2 linked regions of the Oreochromis niloticus genome follow. The protein of the gene in region 2 purifies or fractionates together with the protein of the main gene of each other region. This does not show direct contact. Links are inferred from orthologs where the notes say so. Each region holds a gene or a part of one and is shown on either strand. Other genes may lie near its edges.

What was found. Proteins that work in one complex are often made in the same cells at the same time.
Region 1: the proteins of rnf139 (region 2) and insig1 purify together in Homo sapiens (affinity purification with western blotting, with the first as the bait; 3 studies listed by BioGRID). This does not show direct contact. The link is inferred for Oreochromis niloticus from reciprocal best matches to the Homo sapiens genes RNF139 and INSIG1.

The regions. Positions count from the first base shown.
Region 1 is NC_031974.2:16,865,311-16,872,891, reverse strand, and holds the start of insig1 (insulin-induced gene 1 protein), read left to right. Parts: upstream 1-4,362; 5' UTR 4,363-4,485; intron 4,486-4,725; 5' UTR 4,726-4,868; coding exon 4,869-4,873; exon of another isoform or gene 4,874-4,900; intron 4,901-4,985; exon of another isoform or gene 4,986-4,990; coding exon 4,991-5,097; intron 5,098-5,197; coding exon 5,198-5,548; intron 5,549-7,122; coding exon 7,123-7,247; intron 7,248-7,506; coding exon 7,507-7,581. UniProt on the Homo sapiens protein: Oxysterol-binding protein that mediates feedback control of cholesterol synthesis by controlling both endoplasmic reticulum to Golgi transport of SCAP and degradation of HMGCR.
Region 2 is NC_031985.2:2,280,032-2,288,333, reverse strand, and holds the start of rnf139 (E3 ubiquitin-protein ligase RNF139), read right to left. Parts: upstream 3,015-8,302; 5' UTR 2,652-3,014; coding exon 2,489-2,651; intron 1,157-2,488; coding exon 501-1,156; intron 1-500. Other genes in the region: deoxyribonuclease TATDN1, read right to left, coding at 4,212-4,314, 4,439-4,565, 4,831-4,922, 4,955-5,058, 5,391-5,431, 5,513-5,598, 5,961-6,003, 6,117-6,260 and 4 more. UniProt on the Homo sapiens protein: E3-ubiquitin ligase; acts as a negative regulator of cell proliferation through mechanisms involving G2/M arrest and cell death.

The DNA.
Region 1 (7,581 bases), on a different chromosome or scaffold from region 2:
CAGCTGACTGCAGGTTTCCCTAAACCTTATAAACAGTACATTTGCATAATGACTGAAACCAGCCCACTGAAGGAACAATGGGCTGTGAGGTCAGTTCCTTAATCATAATTATGCAAATTCCCATGACCATTGATCAACAATCACTGACCAAAACCCACTGATCAAAGAACACTGATCAATGGCCATGAGTACCATTCACAGAGAGTTGGGGAATGGCTGCAATCACAGCATTGTAAGATGGCGAAAGATGTACCCTTAGGCCCCCTCCTCGATTCAGAGATGGTCTTTCCCTTTTCACGTAAATGGCCTCCTTGACTCCGCGCTCAAACCAGCGTTCTTCCCTGTCCAGGATGTGTACATCCTCATCGTTGAAAGAGTGTCCACTGGCCTGTAGGTGTAAATAAACTGCAGAGTCCTGGCCTGACGAGGTAGCTCTTCTGTGTTGTGCCATCCGCTTCGCTAGAGGTTGTTTGGTTTCCCCGATGTATAAATCCTGGCAATCCTCCTGGCACTTAACAGCGTACACTATGTTACTCTGTTTGTGTCGGGGGACCCGATCCTTGGGGTGGACCAGTTTTTGGCGCAGCGTATTTTGGGGTTTAAAAGCCACAGAGACCCGGTGTTTAGAAAAAATGCGTCTCAACTGTTCCGATACTCCTGACACATACGGGATCACTACAGGTTTTCACCTGGGCAGCGGTTGTCCTTCTCTCCTGGATCGGCTGGAGCTTTCTTTAGGTGCCTTCCCAGCTTTGACAAAAGTCCAGCTAGGATATCCACATTTACTCAGGGCCTTCTTGATGTGCTGTTCTTCTGCCTCCCTGGCTGCTGTGTCAGTGGGGATGGTGTTCGCTCTGTGTTGTAGCGTCCTGATGACACCCAGTTTGTGCTCCAGTGGATGATAAGAGTCAAACCTTAGATACTGATCCGTATGCGTAGGTTTACGGTACACGTCAGCTTTTAGATGTCCCCCATTACTGATGGAAATCTCACAGTCTAAGAAGGCTAACCTGCCACTTTTCATATCCTCCCTGGTGAATTTGATGTGTCGGTCCACCGAGTTAATGTGATCCGTGAAATGTAGTACGTCCTGAGATTTGATTTTCACCCAGGTGTCATCCACATATCTGAACCAATGGCTTGGTGGTGTTCCAGGGTAGGATAGCAACGCCCTCTTTTCCACTTCTTCCATGTACAAATTGGCCACGATGGGTGAAACTGGGGAGCCCATGGCACACCCATGTTTCTGCCTGTAGAACTGACCCTTGTATGTGAAGTAGGTGGAATGAAGACACAGTTCCAAAAGCAAACACACTTGGTCGATGCTGAGAGTGGTCCTGTTGCTGAGGTTGGTGTCATCCTGTAATCTCTTACGGACTACCTCCAACGCTTCCGTGACTGGGATGCAAGTGAAGAGAGATGTAACGTCGTACGAGACCATGGTTTCATCTGCCTCCATAATGACATCTCTCACCTTCTCAACAAAATCCAGGGTCATGGGAATTTGCATTATTATGATTAAGGAACTGACCTCACAGCCCATTGTTCCTTCAGTGGGCTGGTTTCAGTCATTATGCAAATGTACTGTTTATAAGGTTTGGGGAAACCTGCAGTCAGCTGAGACTGAAGAAGTCACTTGGATGAGTGACGAAACGTTTCTCCCACAAAACGCTACGTCCAGATGAACAGATTCAACTTTTGGAGAACAATTAATATCAATAGAGAACCATGCTAAAATAGAATAAAAAGGTAAGCAAAATGTATTTATATAGAGCTTTTTATCTGTGCAAAGCAATAAATATCTAGCAGAAATCGATAAAAATATAAATACCAAAAGAATCTCAACAAAAGGCGTGATAAAGCGGAAAGGTTTTCAACTGTTTTCTTTAAAAGGATTCTACCGAATCTGCTAACAAGGGGTGAAGTATTAAATTGTTTCATTGCCTTGATGCACAGACTAAGAGGATCTGTTCTCCTATGGTCTTCGGTCTTGTATAACGGAAAACTGATAGATTTTGAGCTTGTGAGAGAAGATAGCGAACAGCTGTGCATTTAACAAGAAGTTGAGATATAATATAGTCTGGAACATGTCTGTTTAGTGCTTCAAGTGTGAGAATTTTAAAAACGTGATTCAAAATCAACCGGGAACCAATGTAAAGAGAATAAAATTGGAGTAGTGTGAGCTTGCTTGCTAGAGCATTTTGTATTGCTTGGAGGTGTAAAAGAGAAGAGATGAGCCAGTAAATAGGGTATTACAAAAATCTCGGTGCAATGACACAAATACATGACTGTAGATCACAATTTCAAAACGTTCCTTAAATGAAAAAAATGAAGGTGAAAAAGATTTTATATGTTCTTTTTTCTCAGACCGTGCAGGAGTCAACAGGATTCCTCTGGTTAAAAGAGTTTCCAACTGCTTGCTCAAAGTGAATCACTGAGGTTTTCCATCCACGATGTTCTAAAGTATACTGCTTAGACAACAAAAAGTCAGGCACTCTATAATTTCGTTGGACTACCTTTAGCTTATAATGAAGGCATGTATTCGACCTGGCGTTATTTTGATAAGCAGAATCAGACTGCTGGGTAAAGTCTTTTCCAGCACATCCCAAAGATTCTCAGTGGTAAAGGTCTGGACTCTGTGGTGGCCAATCCATGCATAAGGCTGCACAGCTGTACAGCTACACACCCCAATTCCTTCAGTTCTTTTCATTGTGTGTGTGTGTGTGTGTGTGTGTGTGTGTGTGTGTGTGTGTGTGTGTGTGAAAATGCTTTTACTATCCCTTTTAACATGGCCATGAGGTTTATTGTTGCTGTTTTTATTTAATTTCACCAGATGTTTAAGTGAAATCCAATCACGATCACTCAGGATTTTTATCCAATACCATTTCTTCCTCAAAGGTGCCGGTTCATCAATAACCTTCCAGGTTTTAACAATACAGTTAAAACCTGGACAGTTCTTAACGAGAAGCTTCTCGCTGCTTCAGTTAGGGTTAAAAAGCCAGCTGAATCATATTGATCCCTGCATAAATTCTGGTTAGTTAAATACAAGCGGTGCCTTTTGTTTTTTTTCACTGGGCGGTGTATTTAACTGAGTAATAATACTCAGATTCTGTGGGACCAATAACATAACTATGAAAAACAGTGTGAATCCAACAAGTAGATGTTGATACATATAACAGGATAACTGCTGCCTTTAATCTGTTTGTGGTGCTAGAACAAAAGTCAGAGAATCAACAGACTCATTATGATTTGACCCCTGAAGACTCTGATTTTCTTCACCAAATTTCATGGCCATGCAGCCGAAGTGGTGAGGCAACCAAACCCTAGAGCCAAAAACCACTAGCAAAACTAAAAAGTCCTTGGTGTGCCCACAGTGTTACCATGTCCATTATTATTATTATTAGTAGTAGTATTATTATAAATACAGTTATTTCCATAAATACTCCTGATAAATCGTACATTGTTTTTCTCCACACTGCACATCAAATCAGCCATAACTAAGAAGAGATAAATTCGGCAGCTGGTTGGAAGCTTTGAAGCTGAACATTGGGTGAAAACCAACATTGCACCCTGATTTAGTGCCGAACTCTCTACATTTGAACACCACAAATGTGCCAAAAACACACACACACGATTAATATAATACCCCCAAAATACCAAGAGCACTGTTAATTACACCCCCCAAAAAAGACATTTAATTAAACCTAATTGAAATGAAATGCTGTCACACTGATACGGTCTCTGTTTTTGTTTACCACATTTGCTCCAGGTCATGAGGCATCAACTCACTTTTTCCAAGTCTTATTTGCATAAAGAAATGATTCATCCATGGTATTGCTTTCTAAGTGCCAGAAGCTGATATTATTAAGTAAATGTGACTCAGGTTTTTTTTTTGGGGGGGGGTTACAAAGTGAAAAGAACGGAAAACGTTTGATTAATCTTTTTTGGAAACACAACAAGTGAGAAAGCTTGCACGGGAGTAGATTTTCATCCACGTGCGAGGTGAGGTTTTCCTCGGGCTCAGAAGCAAAATGTGCTCCGGTAGTCGCATGTGCCCTGCTGCACGTATCCAGCAGGAGGGTGTTTGTTATTGTACTGACCTACTCACGACCGACTGGATAACGCAGATTCTTGCAAAACACGTTTTCGCGTTGTTGTCGAACGAGCCCCAAAAGTCTACATGTGATCGGGGTATTGAACCTTTCAGAATACACGTTATCTCTAACAGACGTGCGCTGGCACTACACGCCCTCCCGAGCCTCCTTCCAAGCCACACCTCCTCTAAAGTGACCCAAAGTTTACCGGTTTGTTTGTTTTTTTTAAACAAACGAACTGTGCCACTGACCCCATTTCCCAAAGGCTTGATATATAAGGGTGCAGAGGACTGCTGTGAGTTTAGTTACAGACGAAGAAAAGCAGCGTTTGTTTAGAGAATATCAGTGAATAATTCAACACCTAAAAGGGGTGGAGCGTGAGATCTGCCTGGTAAACGCACATTTACCTTTAAAAAAATGAGTAATATTCTAGTTGAATATAAAGCTAAAATACAGCTGTGGTACTGTGGTAGTTAAGTCATAGTTACTACTTTTATTCCGTATGTTTTTAACCGGCTCCTCTGTCTCTTAGACTTCTTTTTTACTTTCTTGTAAACTATCATAGAGAGAATACGGGCTTTTTTTTAAAGAGCCGCTGTTTGGCGTTTCCACTTTCACTTCTGCTCTCCAGCCTCCCTGTTTGTGCGTCTGTCCCGGACGAAGTGGGCGGTGGGGTGGCGTCACGTCATATCAGCCGCCTAGCTCTGATTGGCTGCCGATTCTCACCCGACACAGCTGTGATTGTTTTCTGCAGAGGAAGCTCTCGTCGGTGGTATGAGGTCTGTGCGGTGGAATGGAGGAGCACTGTGTGTTTTTTCTCTCTCGCTCTGCGTGTGTTTGCTGACGATGATGTGAACAAACAACGTGACTGCAGTTCTCTTGTTGTAAAAGAGCAGGAAAACGAGGAGGGGGGATCCTGGCTTAAATCTGCTTGCCGAGGCGCGAATGAACAGGAGAAGAGGATTCTGCTTGGAGCTGACTCTGAAGACGTCTGGAGATCAAGGTAAGCAGCCGGAACAATTTTTTAACAATTTCTTCGATTTTTTTCTTTCAACGTGAAAACAGTGGAACTCGTGTGTTGACTGTCGCGTTTCCTTTTCTAGCTTTAAAGTGCCAAATGCCTAGGCTGGAGGAGCATTGTTGGAGCTGCTCCACTTCATCAAAGACCGAAACTAAGCACCCATCATCTGGCGCAAACTGGTTGGCATCCAGAGCTGAAGAGATGATGTCGATCATCACATCGGTGCTCAGCAGTGCCTACATCTCCCTGCACGACGTCCGAACGGCCAACCTGATCCGCCGGGGTGTCGTCCTCTTCACGGTCGGAGTGTTCCTGGCCCTGGTGCTCAACTTGCTCCAGATACAAAGAAATGTTACCCTCTTCCCCGAGGAGGTGATGACAACTTTGTTTTCGTCCGCATGGTGGATCCCACCTTGCTGCGGTACAGGAGCCGGTGAGTGAATAAAAGGCTGATTTTATAAAGCTTAGTTGGTGCTTTATAAACGACCCTGCAAGGGTAGTTTTACCCGGGTGATCAGTAGTTTGCGGCTAATTTGGGGACAAAGGAATGCAGAGAGGGGAGGAGTTAGAGCGCAACAGCCTTCCCTTATAAAGAGAAAATGACACTTTAAATAATATGTGGTGTGTTTTACCGCTTGTGTATATAAAATGGGCTCTTATGGTCAGGAAATCCCCCTTTGTGAGCTGGATTTTGCCATAAGCAGCAGAAATTTAAACCGCATACAGCAGAAGCACATCCCTTTTCTCATCACCACTGTCAGCAGCATTTGTATGATCAGATGACAATGAATCACCATTCAGTTTTGTTTTTGTTTCATATTAATTATGACTCAGTTTTGAAGGCATCATTAAGTCTGGCTGTTATCAAAAAGTAAAAAAAAAAATGGCTTGGAACGGATGTTGTTTTTTATTGCGCTCTGATTGGTCGCAGCAGCCGGACACGAGGCGAGCTGCGAGCTCATTGGATGGTGTCATAACGGGTGAGCTGAGAGGGGAGGTACTTTTAAGGCCAGAAACAGGGAAGTGAGGGAAAGAAAGAAGCGCGTAAATGCTTGGCTCCTCCCCCTCCTCTCGTCATTGCATGCTGCAGGACAGAAACAAACCAAGAAATAAGAGATGTAGGCTTATGGCTTTGCACCAGGCTTCCCGTTTTAAAGCCCCAGTGTCATGCAACAGATGAAGAAAACTGTTCTTTACTTTCCCACACCTGAAGGTGATGTCATTAAATGTCTTCTTGTGCTTTATAAATAGCCCAAGAAACAGATAATATTTCAGTTTCCACAACAAGCAACTGCCACAGATCCAGTTTCTGTCAACTATCAGTTCACCAGGACAATTGATTCAGACTCATCTGAGCATGCTATTCCTAGTAGGATTGCAGCTAAAGATTGTCAATGAGGAGTCAAATGAGGTATTTTCTCAGATAAAAGCTTCTTGGAGCCCGAATAAGGTGAAAAATATACTAACAAAAGCTAGAGGGATGAAGTAAATCCTCTGACTTAAGAGCCTGGTATTAAAAAGCATCTGGTGCTTTCTGTGAACAGTTTTGTTTTTTTAAGTGACGAATCGAATGTCAAAATGGTTTCGTATTCATTGTCCCGTGATCCAGGTAATAATTCCTGTAACTCCACTTCTTGTAAGATATCCACTGTGTATTTCCTTTTTACATTATAATAGTGTGGTTACATAGTTTCCTTCACGAATTCTTGGACTTTTAATGACAGTATGTAGAAGAAAATGATTGGTACACACAAAGCAGGGAGTTGCATTAAAAAGTCACACTTAAAAAGTAAAAGACAACTTTAAAATTAAAGCTAATGTTTATGCATATTCCTCATGTGGGGGTTTTGAAGTGCATGTACAGCAGGTGTGTCGCTAACTGTGGAAATGCACCTTCAGCAGTTTGTCTCTATGACACAGTTTGCCCTATTTTTATTTCACAGAAGTTCTGCTTATCTGGCACAATTCAAGACTGTTTGTTCCCTTTTTTGATTTTTTTTTTTGCAGCTGTTATCGGCCTGCTGTATCCCTGTCTCGACAGCCACTTGGGAGAGCCGCACAAGTTCAAGAGGGAATGGGCGAGCGTCATGAGGTGTATCGCTGTGTTCGTCGGTATCAACCACGCCAGTGTTGTATCCTTTCGCCATGTCCCGTGCAGCACTCAAATGCACTTTTGCTACTTTTGTGATACTTTGTTTGTTACAGTAGAGTGGAAAAGTACACCAGTAATTAACTGAAGTTTGGCTGCTGTCTGCATCAGCTCACTAATCTGCTTTATCCTTTTGCAAAAAGAGGTGGTGCAACTTGATGGTGGCCAAATATTTGCGTAAGAAATAATCATATGTTATCCTCGTGCTGTTTGATTTTTGTCCTTAACTTCCCGGAACACAGAAACTAGACTTCGACAACAACGTGCAGCTCTCCTTAACGCTAGCAGCCTTGTCCCTGGGTCTGTGGTGGACATTC
Region 2 (8,302 bases):
GTAGTGTGCATAATTTTTAACTGCTCTTCAGACATCAGACACTGTTTATAAATTATTAAAAGCATATTTCACATTGAAATTTCTGTGTATACACACACAAATACCAGCATAATATACCTGTAAAACACTGCAAAGAGCTAATGTGCCAGCTGGACTTTACTTGGCTACAGTACACAGGAAACCTGTAGAGGTCACCTACATACATTTTAGGCTTTCGGAGATATTTTTAAACACACAGGAGTTAATATTTAGATATAATTACGGAAATCCAACAGGGGCGCCTGGGGCTGCAAAAGGAAAACTTCTTTCCCCAAACAAATATATGACTTTTGTAAACATGATATGTCAAAGACTTAATAATGTCATTAACCAAATATCAATTCACTGTGGCTAACAACTTGTTAGCTTACCTTGCTTTACAGTCCTACTGGACACTAAAGTGACCATCATATAGCAAACATGTCCTAGAAGTGAAGTTTTTTTTATGTAAAAGCATTTACCTGTGCATCAGAGCTCCCATCTGCAGCTCCACCTGTGGCATCTCCGCTCTCTCTCCCCACCGCCTGCACCACGTAAACCAGTATCAGTGCCTGGGCTGTTACCCGGGTCAGCCAGAACACTCGAAGCACATCAGGGAACCTGATCCTCTTCCACGTGTCTTCCAGCAGCAGCTGGAGTCCATAGATCCTGTACATGTGCCGTACGAGCAGGTAGACGTACCGGCATGAATAGTAGAACCATTTGAGCCTTGTGGCGAGGCAAACGGCCGTACTGAGAGCCAGCACCAGGCCCGAGAACATTGCCACCAGATGCCTGACATCTGCAGGAAGTTCAATCATCAGCCCCCACAGAGGAATCATGATGTCCAGGACCACCAGCGCAGCAAACACCGACTGGAGGTTAAGCAAAAACACATAGCCAATCCCAAAGACGAGCTGGACGGCGGCCATGCCCAGCCACAGCGTCGGCCCGTTTCTAGGCAGCAACCTGAAGCCCAAGGCTGCTTTGTAGTAGGCATTGTAGAAGTCCATGTGGGAGGTGGCGTAGTAGTTTATGAGGACTGCTGCCATGCCAAGGAGGACAGCAAAGAATAGAGTGTAGAACTTAAACAAGGCTTTCTGAGAAAGCAGCAGCACCACAGTGGAGATGAGGACACCTGGAACACACCGGAGAAGCAGTCAGAAAGACAGGAAAGGTAAATATTTCTCACTGCAAACTGAACAAATGTCAAATGTCAGCTAACTGTAGCTTCCAAGTTTGTTTGATTATAGTGAGTAGTTAGATCAGTCTTTGTGAGAAAACACCAGATGCTGCACATTAATGAATTTTGGAGCAAAAATAATCAGCATAGAGTTGAGTAATCCTGATAAGTAAAAGGCTGAACAAGCAGCTAGACAAACTGTTACACTCCTTGATTTTTCATAACAATTAGGCCAGACAAATACCACGCATAACAAAAACAAACAAACAAAGAAATGCCTTTCACAGTCCATGTAATGCTACGTGTGCATTTGATAACACTATGATAAACTGATTGTACATACTGTAGAGGACCTCAACCAACGTGAGCCTTACTGCTTTAATATAATGTTAGTTCAAACATCTGGCACTATGGAGTCTCTGTTCCTGTACTAAACATAAAGAAAGACGGGTACAGAAGCAAACCCAACAGCTAATCTCACTTCCTGTCCATCCAAACCCAGAGCTCTTGGCTAACACTTTCAGACGGCCCGAGCTGCTCAAAGGTCTGCAAACTGGAAAACTGAGTTACATAACTTGTTTGTTGACTCAACACAGAGAAGCTTTACTCTGTCAGAGTGATGAAAACGATGAGCTTTTATGAATTACGGTGTGTAGAGGAAACTCAAAGTTAGTCAGGCTACAGACTTATTCAATCAATAAATAAAAAGTGAAACAGATTTTTGTTAGTAGCAGCTCTGGTAATTACACAACACTAGTCCAGAATGTAATTCCCCTGTCCGAAAATATGACAAGTGCCAAGGCATACAAATGATGTGCATAAAGTGGGACACCAGGTCAACACACGCTGATATAACGTCACAGGTACTCTGAAACTCCTGCAGAGTTCAGACCAGAGAGCAGCTCTCTGAGTACAGTTAGAGGAGGAGAAGTAGCGAGCTTTGTCAGGAAGAAGGACCTGAATATGATTCATCTGTGTTCAAGGTGCCTCTGAGGCCATCCGCGACACCACAAATCACACTTGTGACAACACACCTTGACGTTAGCTAGCTAGTTAGCTTGCGAGCTGCTGGCGCCAGAGGAGAGTAAATTAGGGTCGAGGTGAAGCAGTTAAGCAGCGTGTCAGACGGATCTGTCCTGTGTAAATGTTATTGCTGGTCGCTTAATCGGCTTTAGCCGGTCTGACAGGTGACACAGCTCCACACAGCGGACTAATGTCAAGGCTAACGCGGCTAGCTCGTTGTTGCTGAGGGAAACTTATGGGCTCCTTCATGTTAAAAATACTTACCCATGACTCTGACCAACACCTTCCCCATCGCCCCGGCCATTCCCGAGCCAGGGTCGTAGTAAGAGTTAAAAATGGCGTCGATAATAAAAATACATGGAACTCGCAGAGCCACATCCAGCACCACCAAGGCCTGCTGGCCTATCCGGGCTTGAGTAGACGCCATACGGCTTTGGTGGAGGGCTTTTATAGTCCTGAAGAGACCCGGCTATCCATGTAACGGTGAGATACGTGACGAGTCACCCGGCAGCCGTCCTTCGTCTTCAGTTTCGCTTTGCCCAACGCTTATTCGGCAGCTGCAAGCCTGCATCTGTCCGCCATGTTCGTCCACCTCAACCTCCTGTTGCTTCTCCGGGTTAAAACGCTCCCACCCTCCGTGTTACAGCCGACAGCCGGCAGCCGTTAAACTTCACGACCCCCATCAGACCCGGAGCTGTCCGCTGTCACAAAACCTATGAAGGCATCTCTAAATGTCCGTTTGTCAGTGCTGTGAAAGCGCCACTGGACTTCTTTTTTTTAATAACCAAAGAAGTTGCCAGGATGGTACGACGTATCGCGTCGTGGCGTCGGTGGGCGTGGCAGCTGACGTAACATTTCTACAAACTATAAAATTACACGTCATTTTTACTGTGTACTCTTTGTTACACGTTTTAATGTAGACGTTATTTTGCTTTCAGATGATGGTATGCTGGTATAGACACCCATAAATAAAATATAACATTTAATATAATAATAATACCATTATAAAAGTATATTAAATATATTTCAGTTTACTGCATTTAGATTTCAGGTTAGTTTTATACCTTATTAAATTATTTGTGTCTTATCGTATTTGATTTAAACAAACATTTCACAGACTTTGGGATTTCAAAACATCTTGAGGATCCCCAAAAGTTGTGGAAAATATTCTATGGACGGAGAAAAGTTGAACTTTTTGAAAGGTACAAATGCTGTTACATCTGGCATAAAACTAAGACAGCTTTTCATAAAAAGGTCATACCAACAGTCAAACGTGGTGGCGGTAGTGTGATGGTCTGGGGCTGCTTTGCTGCTTCTGGACCTGGATGACTTGCCGTAACTGGTAGAATCATAAATTCTGTTGTCTATCAGAATTTCTTTCAAGTTCAAGAGCGCTCAAGTTATGCAGCAGCACAATGATAGTGACACACCAGCAAGTCCACCTCTGCATGACTAAAAAAAACAAACCTCTGAGCATGCTTTTGATGGACTTCAGCATGACTCAAAAACAAGCCGACTGAATTAAAATAACTTTGCAAAGAACATTTAACCAAAGACTCATCGCCAGGTACCGAAAACGGCTGATTTTAGCTCTTGCTGCAAATGTTGGCACAGCCAGTTTATTAGGTTTTGTATAACTTTTTCTATTAATAAATTAAGATTTGAAAAGTCTGCATTTGCTTGGGTTACTTTAGTATAATATTAAAACTTGTTTGATGATCTGAAGCAAAAGCACTGTAGGGGTACTTAAACAATCACAAACATCAAAGCTTTTTGTGTGGTTTGAATAAACTCATTAACATTTATGTTTTTCTAAACACAATAACTGATATGTTCCTTATGAAAAAAAATTATGTTTATTTTGCATTAACAGAGGACTGTAAACACAAATAATATAACAGTATAAGTGGTTTGTCCTGAGGCGCACAAACCGATTCATAAAAGAATATTAATGACACATCGGTGAGTCTGATGATGTCACTTATTATCAGCTTGAGCGGAAGAAGACTTTGACAGTGTTGTTGTAGATTGTGTTGCCCAGCTCCAGTGGATCCTCCTCCCTCGCCGCTGCCATCACCTCCAGGACTTGTCTGCAAGAGACAAACAGTGAAATCTTAAAATTAAAGGTTTATTGTGTTTAACAATATTCATGCTTCAGTGCGACGTCTGATTGTATCCATTGGATTTATTAAGCTTTTCCCTTTAGTGACTTACATGATATGACAGGGCTCATTCCGGTCCTTCAGGCAGTGTCCTGCCTCCCACTTCTTCTTTGTGGGAAATGTAGTTTTAACATATTTGGACCCGGCATGAGTGTTCTTCACACCACACCACGGGGCATCTGGAAATGAGCAGGAAGGTGGAAATCCATAAATAACATAAATGTAGCATTTAAAGAACTGTAATATCAGTTAAATATTTCTATAAAGTGAGCATAAACCTATTTTAATCTAATATATTCCCACTTATTGGTGATACAGCTTCAACAAGAATATAAAACAAATGACTCCAGAGCTTTAAGAGAACTTTAATATAAAGGTTCACTGTGTGATCAAACTCAGGCCACATTCTGCCAAAAGCTTTAAAATAAACAGACTGTGACTCACCTGTTTCTATCATGAGCCTCTCTGTGGGGATCGACTTCATAGCTTCAATATTGGCCTCTGTTTTCAAGGAACTGAAAGATATGGAAGTGAGACTCAGTGTGACTCTGGTCAAGTTCAAGGAAACCGAACAACATTTCTCAGATTATCCCACCATCCATTTATTCCAATATAGAGGTCGAGGTCTATGAGAGCAGCAGCGTCTTCTGCAGTTCCATCAAACGAGTGGACCTGAAATTCAAAATAGCAATAACGCAGAAGAATTTTGATCTGATTCATTCATAAAGTGACTCAGTGGCTTTTTAAATATGTAAACAATGTTTTGCAAATTAGTTTTAATGGATGAAATCAGGTTTGTTTGTGAATTTATCCCAACAAAAGTATTAACTTCACAGAATTTTACATTTTAGGTCTTTATTCTGTTCAGTTTACATTGAGTATTGTAACCTGTCACAAAATAATTCACTTTTACGGAGGTTGTTTTCGCATCTCCAGGATCCAGGATGTGGAAAGCATATCCTTCTCTGTAAGTACTATGATATTAGACATCATATCATCCTTACCACTCCTCCAACACATCGGTCTCGATTTCTCTTCATGATGTCTGTGGAAACAAAAACAGTCAAATGTTTTGCATAAAAATCAAATTCCTGAACCAGATCAGGTGTCTGCTTCACAAACCTACCGATGAACTCCTGATGGGAGTTCCTGCAGTGGAGGAACATGGGCAGCTTGGTCTCCTCCGCCAGGTCAAACTGCTTCTCAAAGTATCTGCAACACACCAGAAGGAGCAAATTGAGGCACAGGAAACAAAAGTCCATGAGGGCCATTTAAGCTAAAGGCCATTTTCGTATAGACTTCTAAAGAAAGCAGGTTAAAGGTACTTTCACTTTTCAGACTGGGAAACAATCCGCAAGTCTGTGGAGTCATAAATGAACCATCATGTTTATTAGAAGGAAATCTTCAGGGGAAAAAAAGCTTTTAGACTTTTTGGCACATCTATCAGGTTTCACTGGTAACTTAAGCAGTCACTATTAAAATTCCAAATGTGGCCTTAAAAAATGGCCGCCGAGTGGCAAGATTTGCTTCTAGAAGGCCTTTTTTCAAAACTCGTGAAAATCACACAAACTTACTTGAGCTGAGTTTCTTTTGGGCAAAATTCCAGCCTGTCAAAATCTGAAATGAGGAGAAAAGAAACAACACAAACCCACAGAGTGAAAAATAAATAAGGTGTAAATGAAGACTTCTTTCTGTCATGTACATTCATACACGTGCTCATGTACACACACCCAGTCCACACTCTCCGATGGCCACCACCTTTCCTCTGTGTGCTGCTGCCAGCTCCCTCAGCCCAGTTAAATACTGGGATTCTCCATTCTGCTCAAACTCGCCGCAGCGGGTGGGATGGCAGCCGACCGTGCAGTAGAACTCATCTGTGATAAAGGAGGGAGCTTGTTAAAGGTGAGACGCTCCAGCACGGAGGAAAACATTAGGTAGGTTTGGCTGATTCTTTAAGACCACGAATCATTTGGTTGCACAAAACGTGTTGTCATTATTACCTCTGGTCTCAGCTAGTTTAAGAGCTTCCCTGCTGTCTTCAAGGCTCCCCCCTGTGATCATAAACTGCAACAGATAAAACACGCAATCATTACAACTGAGAACAAATAACTTTCAAATTACAGATTTCCAACATACACAAAAAAGAGTAACTATGATATTATATTGTTTTATATCTGCATCAGCATCCTGACTACTTGCACCACAATTCTTTAGCATATATAATGAGGCTCAGCATGATAGAGTATACCGACTTATATGTTGAGTGTACTTAAAATAAAGGTGAGGCTTTTTGTTCTTGTTCTTCTCTTCTTTCCCTCATCGCCTAGCCCATTTCAGGGAATGAAATAAATGAGGGTTTTGTCCGGGATATTAAACCTCATAAACATCTCCAACAGCTATTAGCCAAACTGTTGCTGTAAAAATCTCTATCATCCCACAATTTCACGATTACCTTTTTTAAAACAAATCAACACCGCAGCGATCCCTGAATTCATGGCTATGATTAAAATACATGAGGCTTCATCAAAGTGATGGACACAGCATACCTTTTCAACTCCTACTTTGAGAGCTCGGGCAATGATCTCATTGAAGTCATCTGTCAGGAAAACGTGAGACTCAGAAAAACATAATGTGAACAGCCCCACAGTGAAAATAAGAGTGAAGCAGTAGCTCACCGTCATGTTTCTGCTTCCCTCTGTAGAGTCCTCTGAACATGGGATCTGTCAGATTCACCCCGATGTCTGAAGAGCAAGAGGTCAGAATTTATCTACGTGTACTGACTCAGAGAGTGTTACTGATTGTATCTTTGTAATTAAAGCATCACAGTATTGGTACCAGCATCGTGCTGAGAGACGCTCTGAGGTCACGTTATACGGTAACACTGAACACATTTAGCAGTAATGGATACTTTACTTACAAACAATAGAAACACATTGGAAATACAGTCATATAACAAAACAAGTAATTACAACAGCTTCAATATCCTGCTGAATATTTACATAACAGATTATCTGTCTGTAGCCTACAAAATGTAAAACTATAATAAACACCTAAATTCTACAACAGTCATGAACTGAGTTTAATAACAATTATTAGTTTTAAAGAATTTATTTCAGTCCATTGGTAATCTTCATAGTGACTCATTGCGAGGTATCGCATACTTTAAATACTTCTTTGACATACTTTGAAACACAGGTGGGCTTTCATTTAGAAATTACTAGATGATTCTTTCAGAAATATTAACAATTTTCTGTCAGCTAAGTTACTAAATTGCTTGGAGACATCTAAGTGCACTGAGAACTGCTCTGCTTTTTAGACATTTCCATTTTGTAGTCGACGTTAATATTTAAATCAAAGATGAGCTGCTGGATGTACTGATTTGCATCATTTTATCTCAGTTGATTTTAACTTTTTGTAGCTAGGACTACAACCCTACACAGCTTACAGTTGTGCTTAATGAAGAGCAACCACAGGCTGTATGCAGAGGAGCTGCACAGACGGGGTAAAGGGTTTGACTTGGTTAAATCTAATATATAGCAGTACAGAGCTCAGGCTCTGCTATATCTTCTACACATCTTCTTCATTGCCAGCACAGAACCAACTGCTGATCAGCTGCAGTCTACTGTGAGCTGCCATCATGGCAGCCGAACTACTGTAAACCTGAAATAAAGTGCCCGGTATACTGTATTCCTGCACAGCTGTAATCCTGTCACTCAGTCTGTCACTGCTGTGTTGTCATTTTCAAGAAGCTAACTTATTAGCTCTCATGCTAACAAAACATGCAGGCTGCTCCGTTTTTTAAACGTCAGCGGCAGTCAGTGACACTCGGTCTCTTCTACCTTTCTGGTAGCGTTTAACAGGCGATAAAGCACGGGCGTCTTACCAATTAATTTGTGTTGTGCCATGGTTGAAATTC